Saccharomyces cerevisiae S288C: one gene and its partners. Changing the gene in region 1 together with any one later gene gives a genetic interaction. Each region holds a gene or a part of one and is shown on either strand. Other genes may lie near its edges.

Region 1 (9,114 bases):
GTTGGGTTGAAAACACCGATATAAGAGCTGTAGTAGCAATTAACTTCCACGTATTATTTGCCATTTGTTCGTTCTGCTATCCTAACTAATTGCAGTATTAATACTTTACTAACGCTAGAAAATTTTTTCATAGTCTTGTCTCTTTTCGCTACTGCATAAAATATGAAAAAGAAATCAAAAAACCTGACAGCAAAATGTAAAGTAAGATACGGGCATTTAGCGTGTCACTGCTGAAGATAACGTAAGACTAAAAAAATTTCAAGATTAATTCCCAACCTATATATATATATATATATATATATACTGTTTAGATCAAGTATATCTTCCTGCTAAATAATTAATATGCTCGTATGTAGAAAACAAAAAAGAGGTCTTTTCTCTTTTTTCTCCCGTTACTTTTTTCCCTGAATGCAATAACCTTTCCATTAAATGAGCAGCAATGGATAGGCGATTTATCACCTAAAATTCTCATCTTTTTTGGAAGGACACAATAACAATTGTCAGTTTATGTTGAATGCCTTCTCTCCATGTTTCAATGCCAGTATATTCCTGACATCTGTTGAATACCTCATAGCCTCCAAGAAAGGTAACAGGTTCAGTAAGTCCGTATCAGTTGGATCACTTATCCATCCTTCTACTTGAATAGCGTTATCTACATTCATTGCGTAACTTACCGGGCTGTTATCTATAATAATGACATCATCCAAAGAAGAGGAGCTGCCTTTCCCGTTTTCTTCGGAGTCCTTGACAATGCTCAAATCTTTAATGTATCCAACACCATCCCTTAGAACGCAATCAGAACGGTAATATCTTTTTGAAAAACTGGATGGGAAGGAGCTTTCTAACCAATCTATCACAGGATCAGCGTATTCTTTCATGGATGCTGTAAAAATGATAAGGTCGTACCATTTGCTAACTTTTGTCAAAAATAAATCACAGTAAGGCCTCTTGTGAATAAAGTATAGTGTACGAATTCCGCTCAATCCAAACTTCACTTCCACCAAGTGACCCTGAGAAGAATTACTATGCGTTGTACTTCGAGAAGCCGAGTGAATTAAGGTCTCATCGAGATCTATAACCAGTTTCTTTTTCTTTTGTGTGTTAAGCACGGATTTAGGTATCAGCTTCTTTGGAAATAAGAACCTTCCCATTCGTTTTGTACCAAATACGGTATTAGAACTTGAATGATTAGAAAGTGATAGTTCTGATTTGGAATAACTTCTTGGCCTTGATTTGACAGATTGAGCTCTAAGTAATGAGCCTTTAACATTATCCCTTTGTAGAATTATCTCATCACTGGCATTTAAGTCATCCTCAACTGCCTCGGGAATCGTATTTAGATTGCAATTTTTAGGATTTGTTTTCTCGCTAGAATCGTTAATATTGCTTGAACTGACAGGCAGCTCATTCTCACTAGCATTTGAACCCCTGTTTCTCTTATCGGTGTGTTTTACACGACGCTCGATGACACTTAGTGGGAAGGTAAAAACAAACCATAAAGACATCAAGGGCTTGATTATCAGATAATACGGAAGAAAAAGTAGTAGTGCCCACAAAATTGACGCTATTTTCTCTATTAGGATGGAACGTAAAGCTTTTGGTTTTTTAGGAACAGAATTTTTGCGCTCTTGATTTTGATCAGATTCTTTTAAGTGGCTTGAGGAGTGGTCGTACTGTTGGTCCACCTCACTAACGCAATCATTTTCGCTGTGGCTAGTATATTTGTTCGAAACTTCCTTTGAAGGGCCTAGTAGATCTTGATTCTTTGTCACCTCAACATTGATTTTTTTTTGTTTCTTTGTAGTTATTAAATGATTTGAGAAATATTTTAGGGCATTCATTCAATTAATGAAACAATGTCCAGAAATTAACAACAATAAAGAAAAGTGAGAATAGGATGCAAAATAGGTTCTATATATCCCGAGTATTTACCAGGGAGAAGAATTCGAGATAATACCCTGTCCTTACGTAGAAGAATCAATTGTTTTCAAGAGTTTTTCTTCTAAAAAAGTGTCTGGACCTTTTTTTTCTCATGCGATTTTATTACCCTTGTTTTTCAATTGAAAACCCGGAACGATTTAACGAGATCAAGAACTGTTGAACAAAATGGCTTTTTCATTTGGCATTCCATCATAGACTCTAATGGAGAAGAAAAATAGTAATTTTTTCTGGTGCTGCTGCTCCTTCTTGCATCTTCGGAAACAGAATTTACGTATCTAAACACTACTTTAATTATACAGTTCCTTCATATAATACCAATTTTTTTAAGGTTTTGCTGGATGATTAGATCGGTGACTGCACTCAATACGAACTTCATAGTTTGGGTATCGGTAGCGCAGGTTCGTTTCACGTAGATTGGTTTGTTTGTCTTATTCAAGCTCAAAAATATCTTCTCAAAATATTTTAGACCCGCTTCTGCATCGCCGACACGTCCCTGGTAATCAGGAAAGTACTTTCTTATGGGCATGCTTTTTACCTTTTCCTCGAACAAATCAATTTTATTTAAAAACAAAATAAACGGTGTATCTTTGAACCACTTAGAGTTCAATAACGTGTCAAATAGCATTATTGATTCATGCATTCTGTTCACTCTTTCATCCTCAAACAACATCTGGTCGTATTCACTCATTGCTAAAACAAATAAAACTGCTGTAATTCCTTCGAAACAATGAATCCACTTCTTACGTTCAGAACGCTGCCCACCAGCGTCGAGAACCTTGAATTTGGACGAGCCGATGTTAAATTCGGTTTCTGTAATGCCTGTAGTCTTTATACGGCCCTTCAAAATGTCTTCATCCGTACAGACATAATTCGGACTAGCAAATTTCTCAATGTTATCAAAGTAGTATGCAGCTGAGCCCTCCAATTGAAACTCATTAGAACGTGCAAAACACTGCTTTATACCTTTGTCGTTATTCCAAAGTTGCTTTATTGCCTTAGCAATGTCTTCGTGAATAAGATTTCGTCTATTTTGTCCTTGAATTTCCCTTGATGTTTTTCTAACAAACATCTGGTCATCGCCTTCTTGGTTCAAGTCCTTGCAAATATCCTGTAGGTTAATTCTACTACTGTTGTTTCTATCAGCATCCTCATTTTGCGTCACCGTTTCAGCATCTCTGTCAGTGTCACTTTTGACATTAGAAATATTTCCGTCTTCATCGAAAGCAGCTTTTGCTCGTCCGGTACTCTGAACACGCCTCCTAGTTTCATACCTTTCTGAGTACTTCAGTACATAATCATTTAGAAAATCAGAACCACCGGCAACACTGGCGTTGATATAATCTAAAGCTTTAGCCTTTAGCAGTATTCTCTTGCATGCAAACAAATCTTTATTGTTGATCGGATCATCACAGTCAAGTTGAATACCTAGTTTTCTGGCCTGAATAATCAAAATTTTCATTGATTGTATGGCATCTGCCCATATCACTTGAGCATACTGTAACCTTTCTTGATGGGAGAAACCGCCTTGATGTAATAATTTTAATTGTTTTAAAACCGTTGATTTACCTGACTCACCGGCACCTAATAGTAACAGTTTTATTTCATTCTTGTCACGTTGTTTCTCCAGCTGCAACGATTGCTCGATGACATCATTGGCTCTTTTGTTCTGTAGAAAAGGATCACTTTCGTCTCCTATTGTTTGCGTACTCACTGTACACCCCATTATTTCCTACCTTAATATATCAATTTATACACCTCTGGATTATTGATGTGATGCTAAAATACCAATTTACAGTATGAATAGCTTCTACTCAGTTTGGTCTTAGAAATGGTCAAAAATGTTAGAAACGGAGTGACAAGAAAAAATGAATAACAGATCAAAAGATTACGAATAATATAAAACGTAAAGAAATTGGTGGAATTCTACTATCCTCTTCATTTTAGACTATTTTTTAATATTTCCCTTTAAGGAAAACAATATGTAACAAAAAAATTTCTGCTCTCCATTTAATTGCATTTCTACAAGGAAGAATACGCAGAAGGACGCGCAGAGCCCTAAATTGATGTGCTTTTTAACATGCTGAGCCGAGTGCGTTTCGGTGAAATAACACGAAGATGCGTTTCAAATTGAAACTAGTCAGTGTTATCTGCATGAAAAGGGAATATCGTTATGCATTCAGTTTTCCAATAGAGACATTTTTTTTTTTTTAGATTCGGCTTGCTTTATCCACCTATGATCTTGTTTTCAAACAACATGTGCCATGTAAGATAAAAAGGTAAAGATGAAGTACAGAAAAGAGTATAATGTTACTTGTATATACAGGATATGAATCAATAATACTAATTATAACGTTGAGTCGAGTAAAACAGCTTATGGATTTCTTTTCTTATTTTCGTCTTATCATTACTGCTTTAATGCACATTTCTAAAACTTACCGGCTGCGTTAAATGATTGGCCCATTTTCTGCATGTTTTCACCGACTTGAACATTGGTCTCAAAATATTTGGCCACACATCTGTCTAGGCACGAAGATTCATTCTTATTCAGCTCACCCTCGGAATAAGAAGTATTGATACATTTTTTATAACAGTTATTAACCAATTTATTGAACATGTCTGTGACCAAATCTAGTTCAGCTTCCGCAGCTTGAATCTTTTGTTGAGATGATAATTGAGGCTGACCACCACCGAAACCTAAGAAAGACATGTTTTTCTAAGTATGATAGTTCCTTCTTTTGCTTGTTTATCTGTTAAAAGACATGAGAGGGGAACGAGGAGAGTAATAGTTCTTTAGAGAGCTTGCTCTTGTACGTTCACTGCCAGCTCTCTCGCTGAAAAAATTAAAGAAAAAAAATGTCCGATAGCTTCAGAGGGTGATCATCAGCTACGAATTGGGAAATCAATGCAAAAAATGCTTCCAATCGGATTTGAACCGATGATCTCCACATTACTAGTGTGGCGCCTTACCAACTTGGCCATAGAAGCTCTAATAGTGATAGGACCCAGATTATATTTAGTGACTTGTTGATAAATGTTTTAAAATATTACCTTCGTGTCGTTATCGTTACTGAGGAAAGATTTGCAAAAAATAATTACATACTTGGGCTCTTCTGAACGAACAAGTTAACCAAAAAGGTGTATATTACTTCCTCTTGTTTTGTTTCCGGGCTAATGCTTACCTTTCCTTTGTTTCCAATGTTCTTCTTTAACACCAAAACATACTATTTGAGAAATGGGTGAATGTTGAGATAATTGTTGGGATTCCATTTTTGATAAAGGCTATAATATTAGGTATACAGAATATACTAGAAGTTCTCCTCGAGGATATAGGAATCCTCAAAATGGAATCTATATTTCTATTTACTAATATCACGATTATTCCTCATTCCGTTTTATATGTTTCATTATCCTATTACATTATCAATCCTTGCACTTCAGCTTCCTCTAACATCGATGACAGCTTCTCATAACTTATGTCATCATCTTAACACCGTATATGATAATATATTGATAATATAACTATTAGTTGATAGACGATAGTGGATTTTTATTCCAACACTATTTGAGGTTTGGCAACTGTTGAAATTATTGTTAGGACATTGTTAAAAAAGGTTCTTTTATTAGGTCTACAAAAACAAAAAAAGTTTTTTCACGAGGACAGCGTGAATCACAAAGGTGAGGTCAATAGTTTTACATAATAATAAATAACGTTTTTTTTTTCTTCCTTTCATGTGTTGCCTTTCTTTATCCAATTACATTGTCAGCCCTTACATTTCAGTGCCTATTGAATTTGTTGACCACTTCCCATCAGCAATACCATCCTCTTACGCAATATATGATAATATACCCGCGACATAAATATTAGGTTAAAAACAGACGGCAAAATGTGCCTTGGGCGGCAAAATCATGAGAAGCGCACATGTCGTGATATCAATAGCACGGAATTCCAGAAGAGAGAAAATACCAGCACTTATAACAAATGATCACAGTAAGCGTGAAAAAGAAGAGCCTGTTGCTACAAAGAACATTGAAATGATAAAATAGTGAAAGAATTCCAATGAATGGGAATATGGATGGCATTTTGGCAAGAAATTGGGCGGTAAATTTTCGTAAAGCTGATTGATGGTCAGCAAAACTCTCTTCAGAAGAACCAGAGAAATGGGCCAATTCTCACGAAGAAAATTCTTATAGTGTGTAAGCATAGGTAACGATCACGATACCATTAATTACCTGCAGTCAAGAACGAGATTTATTAACTGAAGAAAAAAAACAGACCATTTCCCACAAAAATTGTCGACGTTTAACTTGTGACTGATAGAAAGTTATAAAGTAAGCTATTAATGGAGGTTCTGAACGCATGACATGCTCCTCTAAGGGCTAGAATAGAGATTATAATGTTATTTGAAGATTGAAAGTCTGTTACCCTTCTTAGAGTCATCCATTCGAACGAAGAGTATCTTTTTTTAGAATTCTTATCATTTTTTTTTTCTCTTCACATTCCAATACGGGCAAAAAGCGAGAAAAACGATGATTAATAAATGAAAAACAGTGATTAATCATCCGACAAACAGACAAATGCAAGAGAGCAAAAAGTTGGGGAAGTAAGGAAATCCATTATCATGCCTATCTTATCACTATCTTCAACACGGAACAGCGTGTTAACAAGGATATATGACTACCTTAAAGCATTAGTGCAGCAAGTGATTGTGCCCAATGTGGAAGACGACAAATCTTCGAAAAGTACTCCTTTCGAAAAGTTAGAACCTGCGAAACAGAACCATCCACAGAAAGACTGCTGTGCTACCGAAAAGGACGATCTGGTTGACGTGAGCGAATTATTTCCCAAACAGAACAACAAACAATTGAGTCTAACATCAAAATCTTCAGTTGTACCCTGTGCTTTAAATTTGGATAACCTAGAAACACCTTTCTCAATTAAAATTGATAATAATGGTGCAGTCACTACACAGTTGAACTTGGACGAACCGATTTTACGGGGCCCTAGCCGCGGCGAGCCAGCAAAGTTACAGAATGACTTGATAAGTTCTCCCCCGCTAGAGGAATCCTATATCAATAATGACCAGTACAAAGCTCTTTTCCCCTCTAATTTCCTTCCAATCACGCCCGTAAGTAGCGTAATCACTCCTGCATCGAAGAAAAGTATTGATGAATCTCCCCTATCCGATGAGGTTCAAGGAATTGCTGATGAGTCATCCGAAACTTTACCATATATATGTCACTATTGCGATGCTAGGTTCCGAATCAGAGGTTACTTAACACGACACATAAAAAAGCATGCGAAAAGGAAGGCCTATCACTGTCCATTTTTTGATAATAGCATTTCGCAAGAATTGCGATGCCATACTTCTGGGGGGTTTAGCAGAAGAGATACCTACAAAACACATTTGAAATCTAGACATTTCACTTACCCAGAAGGTGTTAAGCCTCAGGACCGTAATAAATCACCTGGAGTGTGCACTCAATGTGGGGAACACTTTAGCACTAGTGAGAGCTGGGTGGAAAACCACATTGAGGCTGGGAGTTGCAAAGGTTTACCAGAAGGCTATTCAGAGGGAATACGAGAGAAGAAAAAGACGTCTAAAATGAAAATGATAAAGACTTCGGATGGCCAAACAAGGTTCATCTCATCCGACGAAAGTGTTTCCGAACCAGCTTTACAAAATAAGAATTGTATAGAAGCGACAGTAATGCAGTCCAAGGAACGCCCTAATGACAAGATCATACCAACCAAAACCGAAAAAAACGATTTTGGAATAGGCACTCAATGGTTTGAACGCAAACAAATATCAAGACCTACACAAACTACACAATCAAGAGGACCTACAGAAGTCCAAAATCTCAAAGAGTGGTCAATAATATCTCCCCCAATTTTGTCACCCCAAAATGCATCTTCTGTACCACAAGAGTATCAATCATCAAGATACACATTGCATATGGATTCTCCAGCATTATCCTCTGCCTCCTCAGCGCTATCTCCACTTTCAGGCGATCCAATAACAACTACAGAAACAAATAAGTCATACCCATTGGATTCAGAGCAATCGTTGTTGGAGCCAGACAAAACCGAGGAGGACGCAATCAATCAGTCAAAGGAAAGCAATATGATTTCCATTAATGAGATGTTACAGAAGCAAATGGACTTTGAACTTCTGGGTGAGAATCATTTGAAGGAGACTCAAGATTATCTGGCCCTTTACAAAAAAGCTTATGGGATAGAATTTTAAGGTTAATTCAGGTATTATTTTTATGGCGGTTTCAGGTATTTTACGTAATATTATTATTATATCATTTTTGTAGCAATATATTATTTTTAGCGGTGCTTTATAAAACAATGGATACTAAGGATGGTTCAATTCACTCATCATTTGGATTTATCACTATAAAAAGCAGTAATGAATCTTATATACATTTATTTCAGTGAATCCATATTTAAGAGAGCTTCCTCAGTGACCCCTCCCCAAAACTCCTCTCCTCCTGGGCCCTCTCTTGATTAATTTAAATTGCAAAAAGATTTACAAGTTTGCGAAAAGACTGCTTTATTTCCGCTTGGCCTGTGAGCTGTGTGTTCTCTCTTCTAATCCAGTAGGCATGTTGCATAAATAAACCTTATATTTGATGTTGTTTTAGAAATGTAATCTATATATAATTTCGTAGTATAAATATTTATAAATAAAGAAGTGAAACCATACCACTCATAAATAATGCGGGATGGTTGTCCAAGTTTGAAAGTAACTAAAGAACATAACTCGATGTCATATCAAACGTACTGGCAAATAAAATAAATCATTGGAGATGGATGAGTGTGGCGATAAGGCCCACGTGAATGTACAACTTCTCTCTTTTTCTGTTTTTTTTTTTTTTCTCAGTTACAAACCTTAGATCTTTTGTTCTGGATTTCTCTTTTCCCAGATGATCTTGGCTGGACCGGTTGGAAGAGTAACCATAGATGTAAAGTCAGGAGGTGGAACGGTCTTACCCTCTGGGTAATGCCATTTTAATGTTCTGATAAAAATGGACATTAGAACACCTAGCTGACAGTAAGCAAAGTGTTCACCGATACATCTGTGTCTACCACCACCGAAAGGTAAGTATGGAGAGCTGACACCCTTAGAAATGGCACCGAAACCGTAATCGACTTCTTCACCGACGGAA
Region 2 (4,909 bases), on another chromosome or scaffold:
AACAATTATCAATCCTTGTATTTCAGCTTCCATTGAAAACGATGACTATTTCTCATCATTTGCCGTCATCTTCTAACACCGTATATGATTATATACTAGTAACGTAAACACTAGTTAGTAGATGATAGTTGATTTTTATTCCAACAGTTACGTAAACCGTTATCAAATAGATACGCTCAAATTCAATTCTGATTAATTTTCATTGGGGCTGATCGTTTCGCTGCAAGTTGTCATAGTATTATTTATTTATTAATACCTTAGATTTTCTTGACAATTAACCAATTTTTAATCATTAAACTTAATAATATTTAATGCTACTGTACTTTCTATTATTATTTATTATTAATTTATTTATTCGTTCATCTTGTATGTAATCGTCCTCCGTTCTTTTCCCTTTACCGCTGGCTTGCGCGCGATGATTTCCACTAAAAGCTTGCTTGGAAATCTCGATCACCGACATACGCCCTGAGAATGCTTATAGGAGCTATCGAGGCGAAAGAAGTGGGGGGAAAGTAATATCCCGAGAACGAAAACGCAAGGCTTATTGTCATGAAAATGCAAATGCACCGTTGACAAAACCAACCACACGATTATCACGACTACTACCATAATAGGTAGGCAATGAACACTTCGTTCAGCAAATGGGTCCAACACGAATCGACTTTTCGAGGCTTCTTCGGCCGTTTTCGGGCCAGTTAGTGCTGATTATATATCATACTCTAGTTTATGTTCGCTTTACGTATGGCAGTGTCTCTAAGCTATTCCGTCTTTTTAAGAAGCGCATCGATATTGGGATGCCGCCTTCGCCAGTAATTTTCCTGAGCTTGTCGTTCGATCTCCGCTGCCTTGAGCAAAAAGTTTCGATAATTCAGTCTGGAACTAGGAGAAGCTGACTCGATGGCATCTTCAGGCTTAGCGGTGACCGGAGAATTGCCAATTGACGTGGCTGTTTGCTTCTTGGGGGTTACTCCCTCAACAAGGCGTAGAAAATAACGGTAGCAATCCTCATCGCTGTAAAAGTAATACGGAGTATGCCATTGCCCATGATTAAACAAATATTGGTTCATGTTGTATGTGATGATCCTCCATTCTTTCCCTTCTACTGCCGGTTTACGTGTGATGACATCCACTAAAAGCTCGGTCCTAAAATTTCGACGACTGACTAGCTTTGGATTACCATCACCTAATATTATTAACAATACTACAAGAGAAAGATAAGCGTAGTATGCAGAATTGAAAACACAAGCTTCGTTGTCATTAAAAAATATAATTAATAAAACCAAAACCCCTATTACCAGGGACAAAATCATGACTGGTGTATAGCGAGCGATTTCATAGATCCAATAACTCAAGTACGAACGGAATATGTCCTTAGGAAGAGCCACATTTTTCTCAATTAAATGTGCACTAGGTTCGTTGAGTGTATCTAACTTGACGTCGGTACTTTCTAGAGGGGTCTGCATGACCAATATATACCTTGTATCGTCTATGACTATAGTATTCCTGATTGTCTCTGTGCCATTGCATACTGATCAAATGTTTTAATAACGCAGGACCCTTTTCACGATTGTTTTTCATCTCTAGAGGCATTTTCAATATTGCATTTTGCGAAGTGATGTATAATGAAAATGTGGTAATAAGGCAGTGAGCTACTTTGTCACAACAAAGTACGAGAACAGATGAGGTTCCGTGGTGTTTTTGGGGCAACTGCATTATTTGGAGCGCCGTATATATTTATATCCTATTACAAAAAATCATAAATGACACTAAATTTGACACCTACTAGTGTCGTCAATCGAGAAGTAGATCCTTTGTCAAGTTGTGTGCTAGTGTCTCCCGTCTTCTGTCTAAAAAAACTCATCGACACCAGGATACTCTTGTCGCCAATATTCCTTTTGAAATTGTTGTTCGATTTCGGCTGCCTTGGTGAGGAGCTTTATAAAGTTCGGTCCGGCACTAAAACTAGAAGACTCAGCGGCTTCGTTTGGTGTGCCAGCGGTTTCGTCATTTGATTGTGCGTCTTTAACATTGCTGGCTGACGATTCCTTTTGCTTCTTGAAAGTTCTTCCCTTAATAAGACTTAGAAAATAACGGTGGCAATCTTCATCACGGTAAAAGTAGTAGGGAGTGTTCCATAAATCGTTATCAAATAAATACTGGTTCATCTTGTATGTAATTGTCCTCCATTCTTTCCCCTTTACCGTAGGTTTCCGTGTGATAATTTCCATCAGTAGCTTACATTTGAAATCTTCATCACTGATCTGTGGTCCAAACCTGAGTATTAGAACTATCACTAAAATGCCAGAGAATATGAGGAGAAACCCTACAGAAACCCCAACGCAATTTTCGTTATCATGAAAAAGAATAATTATTGAGATTAAAACCCCAATTACTAGAGACAAAAGCATGACCGGTGTACAGTGAGCTGCTTCATATATCCAATAACTCAAGTACGAATGGAATATGTCCTTAGGAAGAGCCACATTTTCCTCGATTAAATATGCACCGGGTTCGTCGAGAGAATCCGACTTGGCGTTGGTATTTTCTGAAGGGGTTTGCATGTTGAATTGATATCTTGTCTTGTGTAAGGTTATTATATGGTTTTGGAGGTTGTTATGCTGATTCGAATTACGACTTGATCTTGATACTAATTGAGCTTTGACGAAATATTTTAGCAATTCAGAACCCCTTTCATATTCTTTTTCTTCTTTTCATTTTTAGAGGCGTTATTTCACTAATAGGTACAGCCTCCGAAATAATACGTAATTGAAGATATGATAATAACAGTACGAGCCTTTTACAGGGCCATTATGATCATGAGTGAGATCCAGAAAAGCACATTGCATGGCAGTCGGATGTTGAGAATTGGGGGAATTTTGAGATAATTGTTGGGATTCCATTGTTGATAAAGGCTATAATATTAGGTATACCTAATATACTAGAAGTTCTCCTCGAGGATATAGGAATCCTCAAAATGGAATCTATATTTCTACATACTAATATCACGATTATTCCTCATTCCGTTTTATATGTTTCATTATCCTATTACATTATCAATCCTTGCACTTCAGCTTCCTCTAACATCGATGACAGCTTCTCATAACTTATGTCATCATCTTAACACCGTATATGATAATATATTGATAATATAACTATTAGTTGATAGACGATAGTGGATTTTTATTCCAACAATCTCAACATTCACCCATTTCTCACATTTATCTCAAAATCCACCCATTTCTCAATAATATATATGGTAAGTAACCAGTTGTCAAAACAGTTTATCAGATTAATTCACGGAATGTTACTTATCTTATATATTATATAAAATATGAATCATACTAAGTGGTGGAAGCGCGGAATCTCGGATCTAAACTAATTGTTCAGGCATTTATACTTTTGGGTAGTTCAGCTAGGGAAGGCCGGGTTTTATCTCATGTTGTTCGTTTTGATATAAGGTTGTTTCATATGTGTTGTATGAACGTTTAGGATGACGTATTGTCATACTGACATATCTCATTTTGAGATACAACATTTTCAGTTAATTTGTTTCCGATATAGTGTAACGGCTATCACATCACGCTTTCACCGTGGAGACCGGGGTTCGACTCCCCGTATCGGAGTATTTTTTTGAAAGTTTTTTTTCACGTTAGTTCCGTGAAGAAAATTTTTTTTCTTCATTTCGGAGAAAAAACAAGGAAGGAGAAAGATTTAAGAGTGATAGCTAGATCATGTATTCCTTAATACGAAGGAGAGACCTGGATTTTTCTCATATTATTATGTCTCACTGCCTACTTAACAAAGACATTTACCTTTGAACTGCAATTAAAGTAAAGTAAAAAAATTAAGAATAAAAAGAAAAATGGGTGCTTGGTTATTTATCCTTGCTGTTGTTGTCAACTGTATCAATTTGTTTGGCCAAGTGCATTTCACAATACTATACGCTGATTTAGAAGCTGACTATATCAATCCAATTGAATTATGTTCTAAAGTTAACAAGTTAATTACCCCTGAAGCCGCCTTGCATGGTGCTTTGTCATTACTATTCTTACTGAACGGTTACTGGTTTGTATTTTTATTGAACTTACCAGTTCTAGCTTACAATCTAAACAAGATCTACAATAAAGTTCAACTTTTGGATGCTACCGAAATATTCAGAACTTTAGGCAAACATAAAAGGGAGAGTTTCCTAAAGTTAGGTTTCCACTTATTGATGTTCTTCTTCTACTTGTACAGAATGATCATGGCTTTGATTGCTGAAAGTGGTGATGACTTCTAATCCAACAAGACATTGAAATCCAAAGAAGACTGAAGGGCCAAGAATAATAGACATACTTAATGGCCGCCCATAGATTGGAGGAAAACTGAAGATAAAAAAGATAAATACACAGAATGTATTAATTCGTGCTTCCCTTTTTTCCTTTTTTGCTTTTTTTCTCAATTGTCGGTGGGAGTTATCAATTTTTTTCGTTATTACCAGCATCTATTAAAGTAAAATACCGGTGAATATCGGTAAATAATAGGTTACTGTATAAATGTACATATAAATATTTGTATAGTTAGTATGCCATACAAAATAAAAAAAAAAAAAAAAAAAAACTAAAAGGTTGAGAACTTAAGGGTGAGCATGACTGTGAAATTTTGAAGAGATGCAGTAAGCCATCCCATATCTATTGCTCCAGGGCCCAGAAAAAAAAAATAAAAAATAGAACTTAAGTTGAAACTTAGTGCAAAAGATATATAATGAAAAAAGATAACCAAATCTGAATCTAAATGAAAATGAAAATTTCTATACATAAATAACGAAGAATAAAATACTAAAATGAAAAAAATAAATAAAAAAGGTAAATCGTAATAAGAGAAAAAAAAAGGAAAAATGTCAAAACGTAATCATGAAAAAAAAAAATTC
Region 3 (8,364 bases), on another chromosome or scaffold:
GAAGGCCTCTTTTACGCTGATTGGTAGCTCATCATTTGAGGAGTACCACCCCCCAAATGACGAGAGTTTACTGGGAAAAGCTAATGGAAACTCTTTTGAGTTTGGGCCTTGGGAAGATATTCCGAGATTTTCTTCAAACGAAACCTTAGCAATTGTTTATTCCCACAATGCCCCATTGAATCAGGTAGTGAATTTGAGAAGAGATATTTGGCTTTCTCATTGGGCTTCCACAATACAATTTGAGGAATATTATGAATTAACAAACAAAGCCGCAAAACTGTCTAAAGGATTTTCAAGATTAGAATTAATGAAACAGATTCAAACTCAGAATATGAGACAAACTCACTTTGTTACTGTCTTAGACATGCTCCTGCCTGAGGGAGCTACTGATCATTATTTCACTGATTTGGTTGGCCTTGTTTCCACGTCGCATGCAGAACGTGACCATTTCTTTATAAGACCAAGATTCCCAATCTTTGGAGGTTGGAACTACAATTTTACTGTCGGTTGGACTAATAAATTGTCCGATTTCTTGCATGTATCCTCTGGCTCAGACGAGAAATTCGTTGCTTCTATCCCAATTCTAAACGGCCCACCGGACACTGTATATGATAATGTTGAATTATCGGTATTTCTTCCGGAAGGGGCCGAAATATTCGATATTGATTCTCCAGTCCCTTTTACAAATGTTTCTATAGAAACCCAGAAATCATACTTTGACCTAAATAAAGGTCACGTTAAATTAACTTTCAGTTACAGAAATTTGATTAGTCAAGTTGCCAATGGCCAAGTCTTGATAAAGTACGACTACCCGAAAAGCTCTTTTTTCAAGAAGCCTCTGTCTATTGCTTGCTATATTTTCACCGCACTAATGGGAGTTTTTGTCTTAAAAACTTTGAACATGAACGTAACTAACTGAGTTCACGTTTGAATGATATATACCTTATGATGCAGAGCAATAAATTCAGTATTTAATTTTTTATAAGTTTTATAGATAAGAATTTTCCAATGAATAAAGGTATTTACAATCATTTCCTAGACATTCTCGTGGTCTTTTCTTTGCACAATCAATGGTCATAGTTTTTTTTGTTTAGTAGTTTAAGGACAGAAGAATAACAAAGATGTTCACGTTTTGAATGTTACCAGACATTCTCAGATTCATCCTTTAACCTAGCGACGCGCACAGGCTCCCAATCCTCTTCAGAAAGACCTTGTAAACGATAATATTCTTCTTTAATATCAAATTCCCTTTGATTCTTCCTTATTTTCAAGATATCCTCTTCATTAATTTCCTGAACTTTACGATCGCCTTGCTCGTACTTGATCGCTGTAAAGCTTGACAACCAAAACGAACCCAATACTATTGTTGCACAAAATGGTAAACCAAAAAAAAGAAAGGGGTGCTTACTCAATGCTTTTTTGTATCGCCCCGCTAAAGATGCTTCATATACTAGCTGCTGTCTTCTAGACCTAAATTTTTTTCCGCTGAACGACATTTAGGAGACAAATTCTGGTAATATTTCAGTTGTTGACTAATATATATAGTGGTTTTTGCCAAAATTAAAGACTTCCTTTTATTAACTAGGTGACCAGATATAAGGAAGTGTATTTGCTTTCTAATAACTTGTGTACGGCCATAACCCGGCTTTTAATCAGTTTATTTAACAAGGTATACAAATCGCCAAACGTAACAAGAGATAGGCGCTATTATTCATTTAATATTGTCGTATTCAAAATACTAACGGTGAACAATTTGCTCCATTGTAACACTATAGGACAAGGCTAATCATGAATAAATATCTCCCCACCCAAAATATTCGTAGCTCGCGATATTCACGGTAATATTCTGTAACTTCATGTTAAGAGATGATCTTTAGGAAGGCTAAGGAAGGGTACACATAGAAGTGAGATAAAAAATAGGCATTTGAATTACTGTAACATGGTTTCGATAAGAAGGTATTTGCGAGTGCCGAATGAGTTGAAACCTTCCCAGATCTTCAAACAAGATTCTCTCTCTCCAAGTAAGATTGGACTTCAAATTGTTCTTTTACAGATTTTTTATTACACCACAGCGATCGTTCTTTTTTATTGTTGGGCGAAGCTAGCGGGATATGATCTCAATATCAAGGAATGGCTGTTTTCTTGGGAGAATATCGACTTTACGAACGCATACGGTTTATCAATCTCACTGTTATGGCTTCTGGATTCATTAATATGTGTTTTTTTCTTAACTGTTATCGTTGGACGGAGTAAACTCGCATGGGATTTTGCTATCACTATACATGCCATCAATTTTATTGTGGTGTTCCTCTATACTCGGAAATTTCCTTCTTTTTCTTGGTTTTTTCTTCAAATTTTATCATCTTTAATACTAATATTTTTGGGGACATGGACAACAAGATGGAGAGAGCTTAGAGACACCTTTTTTGAGGGCTTGGTTGATCCTAATGAAGGAGAAGTTGGATTGGTTACGCCTAGTCAGCAGCATAGTAATCATTCAGAATTGGAGCAATCACCAATACAACTAAAAGACTTAGAAAGCCAAATATGAGAGGAGATGAAACAACATATTCGAGGCAATTTTGGCAATATTATAGTCATTCAAGAGAAAACAGTAAATGTATGAAAAATGGCAAGAACCTTATCTCTATAGGCTTAATAAATCTGCCTTTTTGGCCAATTTTTCAAAACAGATCCTATTTCTTATTTATACACAATCTATATTTAACATAATTAAGTACGTGATGACATTGAAGATAATAATAAGTAAAGAGTTTACGTACTTAAATTTTATATAGTTTTAGTATACTTGCAATGTGTGAATGGATCTAGTAAGCTGAGGTACTTCTCTAGCGTGAATATGAAACGAGTAACAGGGTGGTACATAATTTACGAACAGAACTCAAGTTGATAAATCCTTTGCGTTCTTAACCATTTGTAAAAGTTCGTCAACAACATTGAAAATATTGCTTCGAGCAGATGTTTTATCGTTTCTGCAAATTTCCAGTCCTGAACACCTCTGTTGTCGTAAATGTAATAATGCCACACTGGATTCGATTCTAGTAATTACATGATCAAAAAATAACAACGCATCCTTCTCAGAAATCGATTGCATAATACCATTTTCAACTTTAGGGTTAAATTTAATATAACTTCCCTCCGTCCGAGAGTCTAGTTCAATAAATCCGCCGCTTAAAGCTGACATTATAGATTCCAGTCTGTTTGAAATGACTCTTAAACGAAACAACATCGTTTCATTGATTAATTTTGACTGCTCATCTTCAGATGCAAATTCGTGTCTGGAAGCAAGAATCTTAGGATACGCAATAGTAACGAGTTCTTTGGTTTCGAGTCCCTTTAGCTTATGCTCGCCAAAGTCAAAAAATGCCCAACCAATACTTTCCAGCATGGCAATTTCTCTTTCAAGAACCTCTCCGATAATTTCTTCACCATAAACTTCCTTGAGAGATTCCTTGCCCTTCACTACTCGCTCATGATACTTCATTATCTTGTTGAATTCAGAGTAAAAATCACTACTCATTGCAATCTGACCACCGTCAGCGACGCCCTGGACCCTTGCTGCCTTATTGACCATCGGCCCCAAATAGTCCATTCTTTGAGTCACTAAATCAAGCTCTGGAACTGGGCAGCCCCAATGAATACCCATTCTAACTGATAGGCCTTGATAGATAATGTTACCATTTCTATCCGTAACTTGGCAGCCGTCTTGAACTGAGGTAATTTCCTCCGGCCATTGTGCATCCAAGAGTTTTAATTGAACACTTAAGCACCATGTCAGACCACTAGTTGGCGTAGGAAATGCCACCATAAAGGCGTCTCCTTCTGTCTTTACTTCGTAACCACCGTAAATTCGTAGTTGACGACGCATAATGTCATTGTGAGTTTTTATTGCGGTCCTCATTGCGTTAGGGAATAGCTCCCATAAGAAGGTTGAGCTTTTGATATCAGTGAAGACCATTGCTAGGTTACCTGTTGGCGGAGAAATCTCAGGTTGAAGTCTTCTTAATGTAGTATCCTCGAAAGTACTTCTTCTAGTCATTAAAGAGTTTTTATTTAAAGTGAACCGATTTTGTTGCTGAATGTTCTCGTAAAGAGCAAGGCACAAAATTGTAATATTCTCTGTACAGCCGTAAGCCATGGCATGATCCTTCAACTCAGCTGCGGCACGGAGTGGATCAGTACTATTCTCACGCGCGATATCACAAACTGTATCCACGTCCATGTATTCCCATAACTTATGCGTTGCTACAATAAGCATCTCGTCTGCTTTTGTTAATGTCACGACAGATATGTCGGGAGAAGCATGAATGTGGGGAAGCAAATCAAAAAAACCCACTGCTCTAGACACATCTACAACACCATCTAATTTTCCATTGTTGACATACCCGCCAGATATTCTGATCCTCTCGTATTCTTCCCGCTTTGTTGGGAGATGTTGTTTGGTTAGCGTTTGGTAGTCACCATTGTTTTTGGATAAAATAGCCATACAGTCACCTAAATTTGCAGCGAAGAGTTTCTTCCCTCTGATATATATCACAGTAGAGCAAGCGCCACTTAGCAAGTCTGCATATGAAAGATTGGCAACATCGGCACCATTATCAACAGAATTTAGCATTCCGTTAATCTCCTTATTCAGTTGCAAAAAACTGAAACGAAGTGCAGTTTTTATATTATCATCTGTTTCGTCTCCATACCTTTCCAGTTGTCTGATCAGTATTTTATCGTAAATATCTCTAACAATTCTTGATATATTGTGGCCATAATCTGCATTTTGGTTTTTACTATCATGAAGACATAGTAAGCATTCGTCGTCATTTCCGCGGAATCTTTCAAAGGTAACATCACGAGATGACACATAGTCTCTTTGACCTAATGTATCAGCAACACCGTAGCGCATCCCATTTATTATTGATGCAGTTGTCCTTAAACGGAAATTGACATTTTCATCCGGTACTTTGGTAGTATTTAAAGTTACGTCCATTAAACCTAGTACCTTTAACTGAGGTAATACTGTCAGATCTGACAAATCAGCATCAATATCGTGACTTATAAATGACTTTATTTCAAACCTTCGATTTCCTGAAAAATTCAAATATTTTAGTTCTTTATTATTCCTCCAGTTCCAATCGTAATGATAGTTTGATATATTATACTTTAATTGATTTGCTCCAACATCAAATACACTTAGCTGTGAGAGATTTGATAATTCTGCAGGCAGAGATAACATTTGGTTACTATTCAACATTAAAGTCTTTAAAGAGCTCCATTTCAAAACTGTATCACCCGACAATGTCGTGAGCTTATTACCGGAGAGGTACAATTCGGTAATGCTCTCAAGTTTCATGTGCGATACATCTGAAAAATTGTTGTAAGAAAGATTTAGCACTTTCAGATTGACAAAGCAATTGAAAAGAGGCCACATAGCATCATCAAATTGATTGTCTGCAGCAATAAAAAACATCAGGCTTTTAGATAACTTTGACCCATATGACATGTTATGGTAAAAAGAATTTTCTAAGCTAGAGTTACCGAATGCATTCGATGAAATATTTAGCGATGTTAGTTCAAGGTTTTCCATACCGTCAACAAAGTCCCTTATGTTGTTAGAATGTAGATCTAATGTCCTCAAACTTTTCAGTTGAGATAGCTCGGGTGGAATATACTCTAGTTTGTTTCTCGCCACTGAAAGGAAAACTAATTTAGTCAACTTGGATATCTCCTGTGGCAGTCTAGTCAAATTATTCTGATTAAGTTCAAGTTTCTCGAGGAAAGATAGTTTGGTGAGTAATTCTCCAGGAATACTCGATAACTGTGCCTTGTTCAACGTCAAACTTGTCATGTTTTTTGGATAAAAATCTTTGAAGGATATAGAAGTGATTGGATTCTCTTGAATTTCAAGGGCTCTTAGTTTCGGCAAAGTGTCTTCAAAGTTCGAAATTCTATTATCTGTTAAAAAAAGGTTCTGCAAGTTAGACGCATTTGTCTTAATTGATGATATTCTGTTATATCTTAGGTTCAGCGTCCTCAAATCTGTCATTTCCGATAAGTCGCCTATAAAATTTAGTTTGTTATGAGAAAGGTTCATCTTCGCAAGCTTTACTAGGTACTTAGTGGACTGTGGTAAGCTTTGGATTTTATTATATGATAGGTCTATTTGTAAAAGATTGGTGCAGTAGTTAATAACTTCTGGGTAGTGCATGAACTTGTTTGAAGACAAGTCTAGCAATTGCAGATTTTTCAGTTCAACAAATCCAGCCGGTAGGCTTTCAAGCTCATTACATTGAAGGTTTAATATCGTTAAATTACTCAGTTTCATGATTGAGTTCGGTACTTTTCTTATGAAGTTTCTCTGTAATTCCAAAGATACTAGTTTATACGCCTTAGTGATATTGGAAGGAAATTTAGATGCTCTAATATTAACCATTCTCAAACTTAATAATTTAATCGAGCTTTCAATGAACTCCAGAGGTAGGAATATATTTGCGTTATTAGAAACGTCTAAACTTTCTATTTCTGACGTATGCTGGTAAAAAATGATGGGAGGTGTAGTCAGATCCATATTCCTTAAATCTACGTGAACAAATTCGCTTCTCATTATTCTTTGTTCTTGTTCAGGAGTAAAGTGAGAAGGTGTGACAGGATGGAAAAGAAACTTAAAAACAAAACTTAAATCCTCTATACCCATAATATGAAGTGGGTCTGACTTTCGATAACCATTCAAAAGTAAAAGTTTTCTTTCAATTAAAATAGGTTTCGAAGTTGGTCTCAAAATTTTTGACAACTTTCCCACCTTCAGGGAAATTTGAAAATTCCCTTGCGCTGTAATGTTAAATTTTCTTTTAAGTGCAGGTATTATCTCTTCGACGGTAGTCGCTGGAGTACATGAGAGAGTCGTAAAAGTGTCATCAGTATTGAATATACGAATAGCATAGTGCCTCTTTGGATCTAAATCACTGAAATCTTTATAGTAATGTTCCAGTTGGCACTCGACCTCATCGTCCTTCTCATCTTGTAGTAATAATCCAGAACTCTGGGCACCATCTGGTGAATTCATATTTACCGAAGAGGATGTAAATTTCTTGGTATACGATTTCGTTTTATTCAGGATCGGTGTTTTATTATCCTGCTCTCGGTTGGCCTCCATATACGCGTTAGTGTACGAAGAGGAATCGCTGCAGGAAGATGTATCTTCTGAACTAATAGATGAGGACGGTAAAGATGAGGAAGTGGAAGACGTGTCGTAGTCCCCATCTAAATTTGATGGAGCATATCGTATACTTGGGGGACTCATAGCCAAATTACTTTTTAAGCGGTTCACAGATTTAGTATCGAGTGCGGTCTTGCTATCATTCGGAACGTTTTCTTTACATATATCAACAAAACTTGAGTTACTGTCACCCGCAGTGACCATTGATTCGTTATCCTTTCGATCGTGATGATGACGAGAGTCTTTTTTTGAAGGTGGCCCCGGTGACATGGGATCAAGTTCATCAGCATCTATACTTGACCTTCTTGATTTCGATCTCCCTTTAGGTTTTGTTTTTTTCCTTTTGGTTTCCACATCCCAGCTTTGAGGTGCTACCCATTGTGATCTATCATTGGAAGTTGATGTGAATTCACCATTAGGTGCTGCGGCAGCGACGGAGAGATCAGCCATTGACACCGACTTCCTAGGACCTTCAGGCATGATCACCGTTTTGGGTGAGGCAGTCTCAGTCCCGTGTGTAGAATTTAGTGTAGAATTGACAGCGGTGGGTGGCACCGTCTTTGTAATATCAGTAACATCCTCAAGGTTTGTATCTAGCCTGAAAAGGGATGGTTTACATGAAATGGGTGTTTCTATAGTAGGCGTTGTGGCTTCGCGTTTGTTGTCAGAGTTAGAATTTTCCGGAATGTTCTCATTATATTCTGGAGTCACTTTCTCGGATTTATTATTAGTGTGATCGGCGGATTCGCTGTTAACGCTGTCCTTACTTTTAGTAGTTGGAGAAACATTAGATACGTTATGTTGGAGAACATGACTACCCGACGTCGCCATACTTGCACTGTCACTGTTAGTCATTGAACTGACATTTGAACCTCTTCTACTGCTTGAAGAAGATGTGGAGCCTAGCAGAAAGCTTTTTCTGTGCGAGCGTTTGCTATTGGGAACATCGGATGAATGTAATGTATTTTCTGATTGCGCAACAGCCTTTGGTCTAATCTGTTTATCTGCAATACCATTATTTATATCATGGACGGAAGAACCACGTACCAATGAGGACACTTTCCTTCGTAAAGTGCTTGGCACGTTATCAGCCAAGTGATTAGATAAAGTGGAGTCTTTAGAAGGTTTCCTATTAG
Region 4 (8,565 bases), on another chromosome or scaffold:
GCAAGGCTATGTATCGTTACACAACGTATTTAGTGTGTTGTGAGCTCTCTTGTTTACCAATTTGCACTAAGAGATATTCGCAGCTGAAAAAAAAAAGTTTAAACCCGATTAGAATAGCCATGGGATTTTCCATGCATTACTGCTGTCTATAACGGCGTGACCAGTTTAGCATAAATCCTTTGTCCGTAGTTTCTTTGAATCGTTCTGTCATACTGTTTTGTTTTTAAGACTGAGGCTGTCAAACTTTAATCTCAAAATCGGCCTGAAATCTTGAAAAAGCGGGATTGTTTTCTTTTTTTTTTTGCATATTCCCGTGGTTCGCATTTCCAAAAAGGGATTTGGTGCCTAGATATTTCCTTGTCTTCCCCTTTCGGATATTTACAAAACTCGAATATGTTATTTACTTTTATCCTAATTGGGCGATGTATGGATTGGACGAAAGTAGAAAGGTATAACTTGCCCAAAGGGTGGGCTAGCTGAGAGTTTTATGTGTCGAATTACGATCTCAAAAAACAGAGTAACGCAAAAAACCCCTACCCAAGAAAATGCTTCTGAATCTTAAAAGGACACGTCTTTTAAGAAGAGCTCGCAGTAGAGTAAGTTGTTATCTAAACTAATTACTGCCGTGGAATCGCCTTACTTTAAGGCCTGCGTAGTAACTCAATGCATTCTCTTGATGTTTATCCCCCAAGCTTGTTGCTATGCAACTATTTGTCCTTATAATATGTAGTATAGTAAAACTCTCGTAGTTACTTTCTTGGACATCACTGCTGTCCTGAGATAACATTATATGCTCTATTCCCATTGGTGGGACGATAACTGATTTTATTCATTCCAACCAAAAGATTGTACCGATATGCCATGACAACGAAATCTTGGAATACTTCGAAAAGAAAACACTTTTTTGTTGTCTTTCTGGGTGGGAACTAACGTTTCCATTATTTTTTTAACTGACATTGAAAAGGCAAAGCAACTGTCCTAGATTTTTTTGTTCTACTTAAAAGAGCCAAGGAGACCTAAAAAAGATAGTTATGAATATCCTCAGTATTGTTTACCCCTATACAAAAGTTCTAATCCAATAAATATGTAATGTTAAGTAAAAAGACGGAGAAGAAGCAGTAAAATAAGTCTCTTTCCTCTCCGAAGTAACGAAAAGAAAAGAGCAGAAAAGAAAAAACGCCGGTCTCGCTGCCTATGGTTCTATTTAAAATCATAGCATACAATAGACTTCGTAATGAAGATAACTGGACTTCTTTGCAACGGTGTTCGTCTATGCGGTCGTTAAGACACAAGGACTCAAGAGGGTTTAGTATCCTTTTTTTGTTGGTTCCTGCAGCAGCGTCAGACGCGTTGCTGATTATCGCCGATTGACGCGCGCCACAAAAACGTATCATTGTCATTAATTCATAAATTTTGGAACTATAAATTGCTAAGAAGTGTTCACTTTTTACCTCCTTCTACTACACTTTCGACAAAATTTCTTCCTTTGTTATTTTTGAGAGGCAAGCAACAAGAACATAAAAAATTGTTTTTGCTACATTGGTTTCACATAACATATTTCAACAAACATGCCATCAAATTTGAATATAGTGAAGGTTACAAAACCACAAGAAGAAAATAAGAATTTTTTACACAAAAACACGAATGAACCCAATGAAATGGAACAATCGCAGACACAAGAAGCAGTTACAGAAAATTTTACCGAAAACAGTAATCTCAGTGCAAATGAACATGCAGCTAGGAGGGGTAGATTAAATTTGAAAACAGTTGATCACATAGAAACTTATCCAATAGTGCAAGAAACAGAAGAGATTGCAAAGAAGATTGCTCTAACGAGAATTATTTTAGCACAAACAAAGCCTAGAATCGATAAAGTGGTAGTGTCACGTCCCGTTCAAGCCGTAGCACCAGTGGTCAATTTTTTTGACAAGATGGCCAATTCGACTTTAAGTACAGTAGAGCGCGTTGTCCCTTCTTTGAAAACAAAAACTTATAAAAGATTAGGTGAGGAAATTGCACTTCCGTATACTTTGTCGAAAAAGTATGGAAAGCAGCTCAGGGATACGACAGCAAGAAATGGAGACAACTATGTTTACCAACCTGTCCATGGAAGGTTGATGAAATTTAGGAAGTACTATAATGAAAAATTCATAGACACAAAGGGCAAGCCTTTGATAAGGGGGCAACTTGACCCTGTTTTGTTACCAGTCAATAATACATTCGAAAAGGTAACGGTAAAGTATTTGCCCAAAGGTAAGAAAGTTCCAAATGATTCCTTTTCTTGTGAGTTTAATAGGGGGCTAGCTTTAGAATACAATTTTATGACAAGAGCAGTTTCTGCAGTTAGTCATCAAGTTGTTGGTATTGCAAAGCTTCCCATTGCCTATGGATATCATACAAACTCTGTTTATAATAAAAACTTAGACAAACAGGCCGATTTAAAAATGAAAAATGTATTGAGAGGTACTTGGGATACCATAACTGATTTAGAACGCGAAATTTGGGCCTCTGTCACCGATAGAAGTTTGTTTAGATTTTTTGGCAACAAATCTGAGGGAGGAGATTTACCACATCTAGTACAATAAGTTCGCATAGAAAATAATTTTAATATAGGCGAGAATTTCAATTTGTACCTACTGGCGCAAATTCAATAGGTGTTATCTATTGAAAGCACTGAACTTAAATTTACCAATGTATACACGCTCAACATAAAAAAGAGGTAAAAGAAAATATATTTTTTTGTAAGGAAAGGCTTAATAAATATTTACAAGCTAGATAAAAAAAAAATCAAATAGCAAGCTATTCTGTCATATCTTAAGGTGCTGATTGTTTGTAGGCACGAAGTAAACAAGCTCTTCCCCAAAACAATAAATACGGTTTTCGGGACTGTTCACCCGTACATTTTACGTTTCCGACGGCGCGATGCTATCTTTGAATTTTTATCTCTTTCAGGTAACCCCATGACCAGTAGGGCGGCTTACTACCGAAGAGAAAAATGTCCGCGGCCTAGACAGTTACTTCCCAGGCCAGGGCCAGGCCACACGGACAGAGGCAGATTCCAAGTTGTTCCGCATAGTCTGTCTAGCTCTTTCTCAATTTTCCGCCAGATTCTGTCTAATTTCTTTCCGCTCGAGTTGGCAACAGTACGAAGAAGTAACTCTAATAGATAGATATAACCGTTTTTGAGGGCATTATTTTTGCAGAAGATAATAGAAGAGAACCGTAACAAAGGAATCAAGCAAAGAAAAAGTATGTAATAGAATGTATTGTATGCTTGTGGAATGAATGTCAATGTAGCTATTTTATATGGTGAGCTCAAATTGAATGAACATATCGTGGAAATTTAAAATACTGAAGAATACCCAATAAGTCAATGCAACCTGTGAATGTTTTTCCTGAAATACGCCGAATACTGAATACGATTATTACCATAAATTGCTTCTAGAAGGAAGGCGGTGTACCATTTAATACTGATGATATGGTTAATATCATTTGAGAAGTCTTCACATGAGGACTATAGAACTACCATCCAGGAATTATAGAGGAAATTAACTGAATCAGAGATCTATTTTGAAACATTCATTTACATGTAATTGTCTGCAATAAAGCAATATTTTTGAAATATGCAAGTTTACTAACAAGAATAAATTCTTTTTTGATTTTTATCTTTAACAGTGGCTCATTTCAAAGAATACCAAGTCATTGGTCGTCGTTTACCAACTGAATCCGTTCCAGAACCAAAGTTGTTCAGAATGAGAATTTTTGCTTCAAATGAAGTCATCGCCAAGTCTCGTTACTGGTATTTCTTGCAAAAATTGCACAAGGTTAAGAAGGCTTCTGGTGAAATTGTTTCCATCAACCAAATCAACGAAGCTCACCCAACCAAGGTCAAGAACTTCGGTGTTTGGGTTAGATACGATTCCAGATCTGGTACTCACAACATGTACAAGGAAATCAGAGACGTATCCAGAGTTGCTGCCGTCGAAACCTTATACCAAGACATGGCTGCTAGACACAGAGCTAGATTTAGATCTATTCACATCTTGAAGGTTGCTGAAATTGAAAAGACTGCTGATGTCAAGAGACAATACGTCAAGCAATTCTTGACCAAGGATTTAAAATTCCCATTACCTCACAGAGTCCAAAAATCTACCAAGACTTTCTCTTACAAGAGACCATCAACCTTCTACTAAGCCAACAAGATATTTCTACGTTTTTTAGTATAATAAAATTTTGTATAATTCATTTTGTAGATTCAAGGAAATTTTAAAATATATCCTGTTTCTTCTCTTACATTATGCACTACCAGCGTGAAAGCACAATGTCATGCCATGTATCTTTACAAAATCCAGGGTCCATAGCGGGTAACAAATTATTGGTTTTTCTGCGATAAATATAAAACGTAGCGTAATTATAAAAATCCTGAGCGGTGTTGTCGTAGAGCAGTTGAACATTACGTAAACAGATATCTACGCATTTCTGTCATTTGGATTCATACAGGGTTTACAGACAATATGGGGACCGAAGATGCCATTGCCCTTCCAAATAGCACGCTAGAGCCGCGTACCGAAGCTAAGCAAAGACTATCATCTAAGAGTCATCAAGTCTCGGCGAAAGTAACGATTCCAGCAAAAGAAGAAATTAGTAGTAGCGATGACGATGCACACGTTCCAGTGACAGAAATACATTTGAAATCTCATGAATGGTTCGGCGATTTTATAACTAAACATGAAATTCCCCGTAAGGTGTTCCATTCTTCCATTGGCTTTATTACTTTGTACCTGTATACGCAGGGTATTAATTATAAAAATGTTTTATGGCCTTTGATATACGCCTTCATCATATTGTTTATTTTGGATCTGATAAGACTAAACTGGCCCTTTTTCAATATGCTTTACTGTAGAACTGTGGGTGCGCTAATGAGAAAAAAGGAGATTCATACATACAATGGGGTATTGTGGTACATTCTTGGGTTAATCTTTTCTTTTAACTTTTTCTCTAAAGATGTTACCTTAATATCGTTATTTTTGCTAAGTTGGTCCGATACAGCCGCCGCAACTATTGGAAGAAAGTATGGTCATTTAACACCCAAAGTGGCAAGAAATAAATCCCTTGCAGGTTCGATAGCTGCGTTTACAGTTGGTGTTATCACCTGCTGGGTATTTTATGGCTATTTTGTTCCTGCCTACAGCTACGTCAACAAACCTGGCGAGATCCAATGGAGCCCAGAAACAAGCAGATTAAGTTTGAATATGCTATCCTTGTTAGGTGGTGTGGTAGCTGCTTTGAGTGAAGGTATAGATTTGTTCAACTGGGATGATAATTTCACTATTCCTGTCCTGTCATCACTTTTTATGAACGCAGTAATCAAAACATTCAAGAAATAAAAGCATATATACCAAAAACAGGAGTGTTTTATATTCTTCGGTAAGTCTTTTTTACAGTAACTGGAGTGCGCGATTCAGTTTATCTGTGGTTAACGATCCAGCACCTCTTCGATCTTTGGCATCCACAAATTATTTTTCTAAATATCCTACATATCCGAGTATAGAGTTAGAACCTGTGTAAATTATTCAGCAGTATTTCCGTATTTTTCACGCCATTAGAAACATTCGACACAAGCAGTTTTATGAAAACATTTATGTTACTAATATATGTGCCAACAAGCGCATCCAAATGGGGCGCAACATTATTATTTAATCGTAAACCTACACCATATTTTCATCAGTAAAAAAAGGCTTTTTCATGCCCCAACTTTGTCACAAAGCAATCATATCAGAGAACAATAAAAAAGAACAATCCTGCGAAATACGATTACCAAGATCCTGAACCAGCGTTCATTTATCTTGGCATCTCAAGGATATATGGTTTATCTGCGATTACCGCCCAGTGGCCTTATTGATATTGATATCATTGTGTACGTTAGAACAGAAAAAAAGAAATTTGGAAAATTTTTCAACCTCATCGAAAATTTTCAGAAAAGCAAGAATTATTTATGCTTTCGCAAAAATTTCGCATATAAGTTATTTTTGAAATAGCAGTCGATACCAAATTAGCTGTAGAACCTCAACCTCCTCATACAATGGCTTACGTTTTAACTGAAACTTCAGCTGGTTATGCTCTTTTAAAAGCTTCCGATAAGAAAATCTACAAATCTTCAAGCTTAATTCAAGACTTGGATAGCTCTGACAAAGTCTTGAAGGAATTCAAGATCGCCGCCTTTTCCAAGTTCAACTCTGCAGCTAACGCTTTAGAGGAAGCCAACTCCATTATTGAAGGTAAAGTTTCTTCCCAATTAGAAAAACTTCTGGAAGAAATTAAAAAGGACAAGAAGTCGACCTTGATTGTTAGTGAAACTAAACTGGCAAACGCTATTAATAAGTTGGGATTGAACTTCAATGTTGTTTCCGATGCTGTAACCTTAGATATCTATAGAGCTATCAAAGAATATTTGCCAGAATTGCTGCCAGGTATGTCTGATAATGATCTAAGCAAGATGTCTTTGGGTTTAGCTCATTCCATCGGTCGTCACAAATTAAAATTTTCTGCTGACAAAGTTGATGTTATGATTATTCAAGCAATTGCTTTATTGGATGATTTAGATAAAGAATTAAACACATATGCCATGAGATGTAAAGAATGGTACGGGTGGCACTTTCCTGAGTTAGCTAAGATTGTTACTGATTCCGTCGCTTATGCGAGAATTATTCTAACAATGGGTATCAGATCCAAGGCTTCTGAAACAGATTTGAGTGAAATCTTACCAGAAGAGATTGAAGAACGTGTCAAAACCGCTGCTGAAGTGTCTATGGGTACTGAAATCACTCAAACCGATCTAGACAACATTAATGCTTTAGCTGAACAAATAGTCGAATTTGCCGCTTACAGAGAACAGTTGTCCAATTACTTGTCTGCAAGAATGAAGGCTATTGCTCCAAACTTGACTCAGTTGGTTGGTGAATTAGTTGGTGCTAGACTTATCGCTCATTCAGGTTCCTTAATTTCCTTGGCCAAATCACCAGCTTCTACCATCCAAATATTAGGTGCCGAAAAGGCTTTATTCAGAGCTTTAAAGACCAAGCATGATACACCAAAGTATGGTTTGCTATATCATGCCTCTCTTGTTGGTCAAGCTACTGGTAAGAACAAAGGTAAGATTGCAAGAGTTCTGGCTGCTAAGGCCGCTGTCTCATTGCGTTATGATGCTTTAGCTGAAGATAGAGACGATTCAGGTGACATTGGTCTAGAATCAAGAGCCAAAGTAGAAAATAGATTATCCCAATTAGAAGGTAGAGATTTAAGAACTACTCCAAAGGTTGTTCGTGAGGCTAAGAAGGTGGAAATGACTGAAGCTAGGGCCTACAATGCAGATGCTGATACCGCAAAGGCTGCTTCTGATTCTGAATCCGATTCTGATGATGAAGAGGAAGAAAAGAAAGAAAAGAAAGAAAAGAAGAGAAAGAGAGACGATGATGAAGATTCCAAGGATTCTAAAAAAGCTAAGAAGGAAAAGAAGGACAAGAAGGAAAAGAAGGAAAAGAAGGAAAAGAAGGAGAAGAAAGAGAAGAAAGAGAAGAAGGAAAAGAAGTCCAAGAAAGAGAAGAAAGAGAAGAAATAAGGATGCATTTTACATTTTAATAATTAGTGACCCCTCGCGTTCCCTTTTATTTGGATTTAGAAAATTTTCTATAATTATCCAATGCTTAACCTATTTCTCATTTCATATTTTATTCCATAATCTGTAAATTAGTGCTGTACGCCCATATTGAATTGAACTTATTATTTTTTTTAGGTGATATATTTGAAATAGTATACATAATTTATGTTTACATAGTTTTAGGTACTTTATATCATTAAAAGTTTTGTTTAACCTTTAAAAAATTTGTACCATTAGCAGTTATAGGTATTCATATCGTGAACTGCGCAACTTAAAATTATTCGCGGGACGAAAAAGATATACAAAATTTTTGAAAGTGAGCAAAGGATGAGATGGTGCAATCGTTACTATTTGATATTAATAAAAAGGCAATCATCACATCAACCCTTAATTAATTTATGAACAAAACGGAAAACCTTTCTATTGAGGAGACAAATGAAATAAGGGAAAAGCTGGGTATGAAACCTATTCCAGTTTTTCAAGAAAAGAATACAGACCATAAAGAGTCTTTGTCAATCGAAGAGACGAATGAGTTGAGGGCGTCCCTTGGCCTAAAACTTATCCCACCCCAACAAAATTTCAATTCTTCTCCCCCTAATGTACATAACACATCCAAAATCGATGAACTTCGAGAGAAGATAACAAAGTTTCAAAAAAAGGCGAACGCTCCTTTACGAATGGCGCACCTTCTCGAAGAAACTAATGTAAATGACGACAGTTCATGGCTAGAAAACATGGATGCAATTCCTTCCTCACATGAATCCAAACGTTCCAGCACATTGCCAAGAAAAGGCGCCACGAAGGAAGACGAAAATATTGATCTGCATAATGTTCAAGTATCATATAATATCGAGGCGCTTAGCCCAAAGAAAGATACGATTCTAACTTTGAAAGAGAGCAGTATTTTT

Evidence for each region.
Region 2: mutations in NEM1 (region 1) and ERV14 together harm fitness more than expected from each alone (negative genetic interaction), as found in Saccharomyces cerevisiae (4 studies listed by BioGRID).
Region 3: mutations in NEM1 (region 1) and SYS1 together harm fitness more than expected from each alone (negative genetic interaction), as found in Saccharomyces cerevisiae (4 studies listed by BioGRID).
Region 4: mutations in NEM1 (region 1) and DGK1 together harm fitness less than expected from each alone (positive genetic interaction), as found in Saccharomyces cerevisiae (4 studies listed by BioGRID, with this or other methods).

The regions. Positions count from the first base shown.
Region 1 is NC_001140.6:111,254-120,367, forward strand, and holds NEM1 (Nem1-Spo7 phosphatase catalytic subunit NEM1), read right to left. Parts: upstream 1,842-9,114; coding exon 501-1,841; downstream 1-500. Other genes in the region: TCD1 (tRNA threonylcarbamoyladenosine dehydratase), read right to left, coding at 1-64; GPA1 (guanine nucleotide-binding protein subunit alpha), read right to left, coding at 2,246-3,664; protein transporter TIM10, read right to left, coding at 4,367-4,648; STP2 (Stp2p), read left to right, coding at 6,561-8,186; ERG11 (sterol 14-demethylase), read right to left, coding at 8,838-9,114. UniProt on the Saccharomyces cerevisiae protein: Catalytic component of the NEM1-SPO7 complex which acts as a phosphatase and dephosphorylates the phosphatidic acid phosphohydrolase PAH1. Essential for the formation of a spherical nucleus and meiotic division.
Region 2 is NC_001139.9:400,241-405,149, reverse strand, and holds ERV14 (cornichon family protein), read left to right. Parts: upstream 1-3,862; coding exon 3,863-4,279; downstream 4,280-4,909. Other genes in the region: DUP240 family protein MST27, read right to left, coding at 759-1,463; pheromone-regulated DUP240 family protein PRM8, read right to left, coding at 1,848-2,561. UniProt on the Saccharomyces cerevisiae protein: Could regulate export of the bud site and axial growth sites selection protein AXL2 and possibly other secretory proteins from the endoplasmic reticulum in COPII-coated vesicles. Seems to be required for axial budding pattern in haploid cells.
Region 3 is NC_001142.9:425,776-434,139, reverse strand, and holds SYS1 (Sys1p), read left to right. Parts: upstream 1-1,939; coding exon 1,940-2,551; downstream 2,552-8,364. Other genes in the region: dolichyl-diphosphooligosaccharide--protein glycotransferase subunit OST1, read left to right, coding at 1-919; COX16 (Cox16p), read right to left, coding at 1,140-1,496; CYR1 (adenylate cyclase), read right to left, coding at 2,903-8,364. UniProt on the Saccharomyces cerevisiae protein: Necessary for the targeting of ARL3 to the Golgi. Involved in protein trafficking. May serve as a receptor for acetylated ARL3.
Region 4 is NC_001147.6:895,878-904,442, reverse strand, and holds DGK1 (diacylglycerol kinase), read left to right. Parts: upstream 1-4,514; coding exon 4,515-5,387; downstream 5,388-8,565. Other genes in the region: YOR314W (uncharacterized protein), read right to left, coding at 1,071-1,400; SPS4 (Sps4p), read left to right, coding at 1,569-2,585; 60S ribosomal protein eL20 RPL20B, read left to right, coding at 3,249-3,249, 3,676-4,193; RNA-processing protein NOP58, read left to right, coding at 6,083-7,618; U4/U6-U5 snRNP complex subunit SNU66, read left to right, coding at 8,056-8,565. UniProt on the Saccharomyces cerevisiae protein: CTP-dependent diacylglycerol kinase that catalyzes the phosphorylation of diacylglycerol (DAG) to phosphatidate (PA). Controls phosphatidate levels at the nuclear envelope.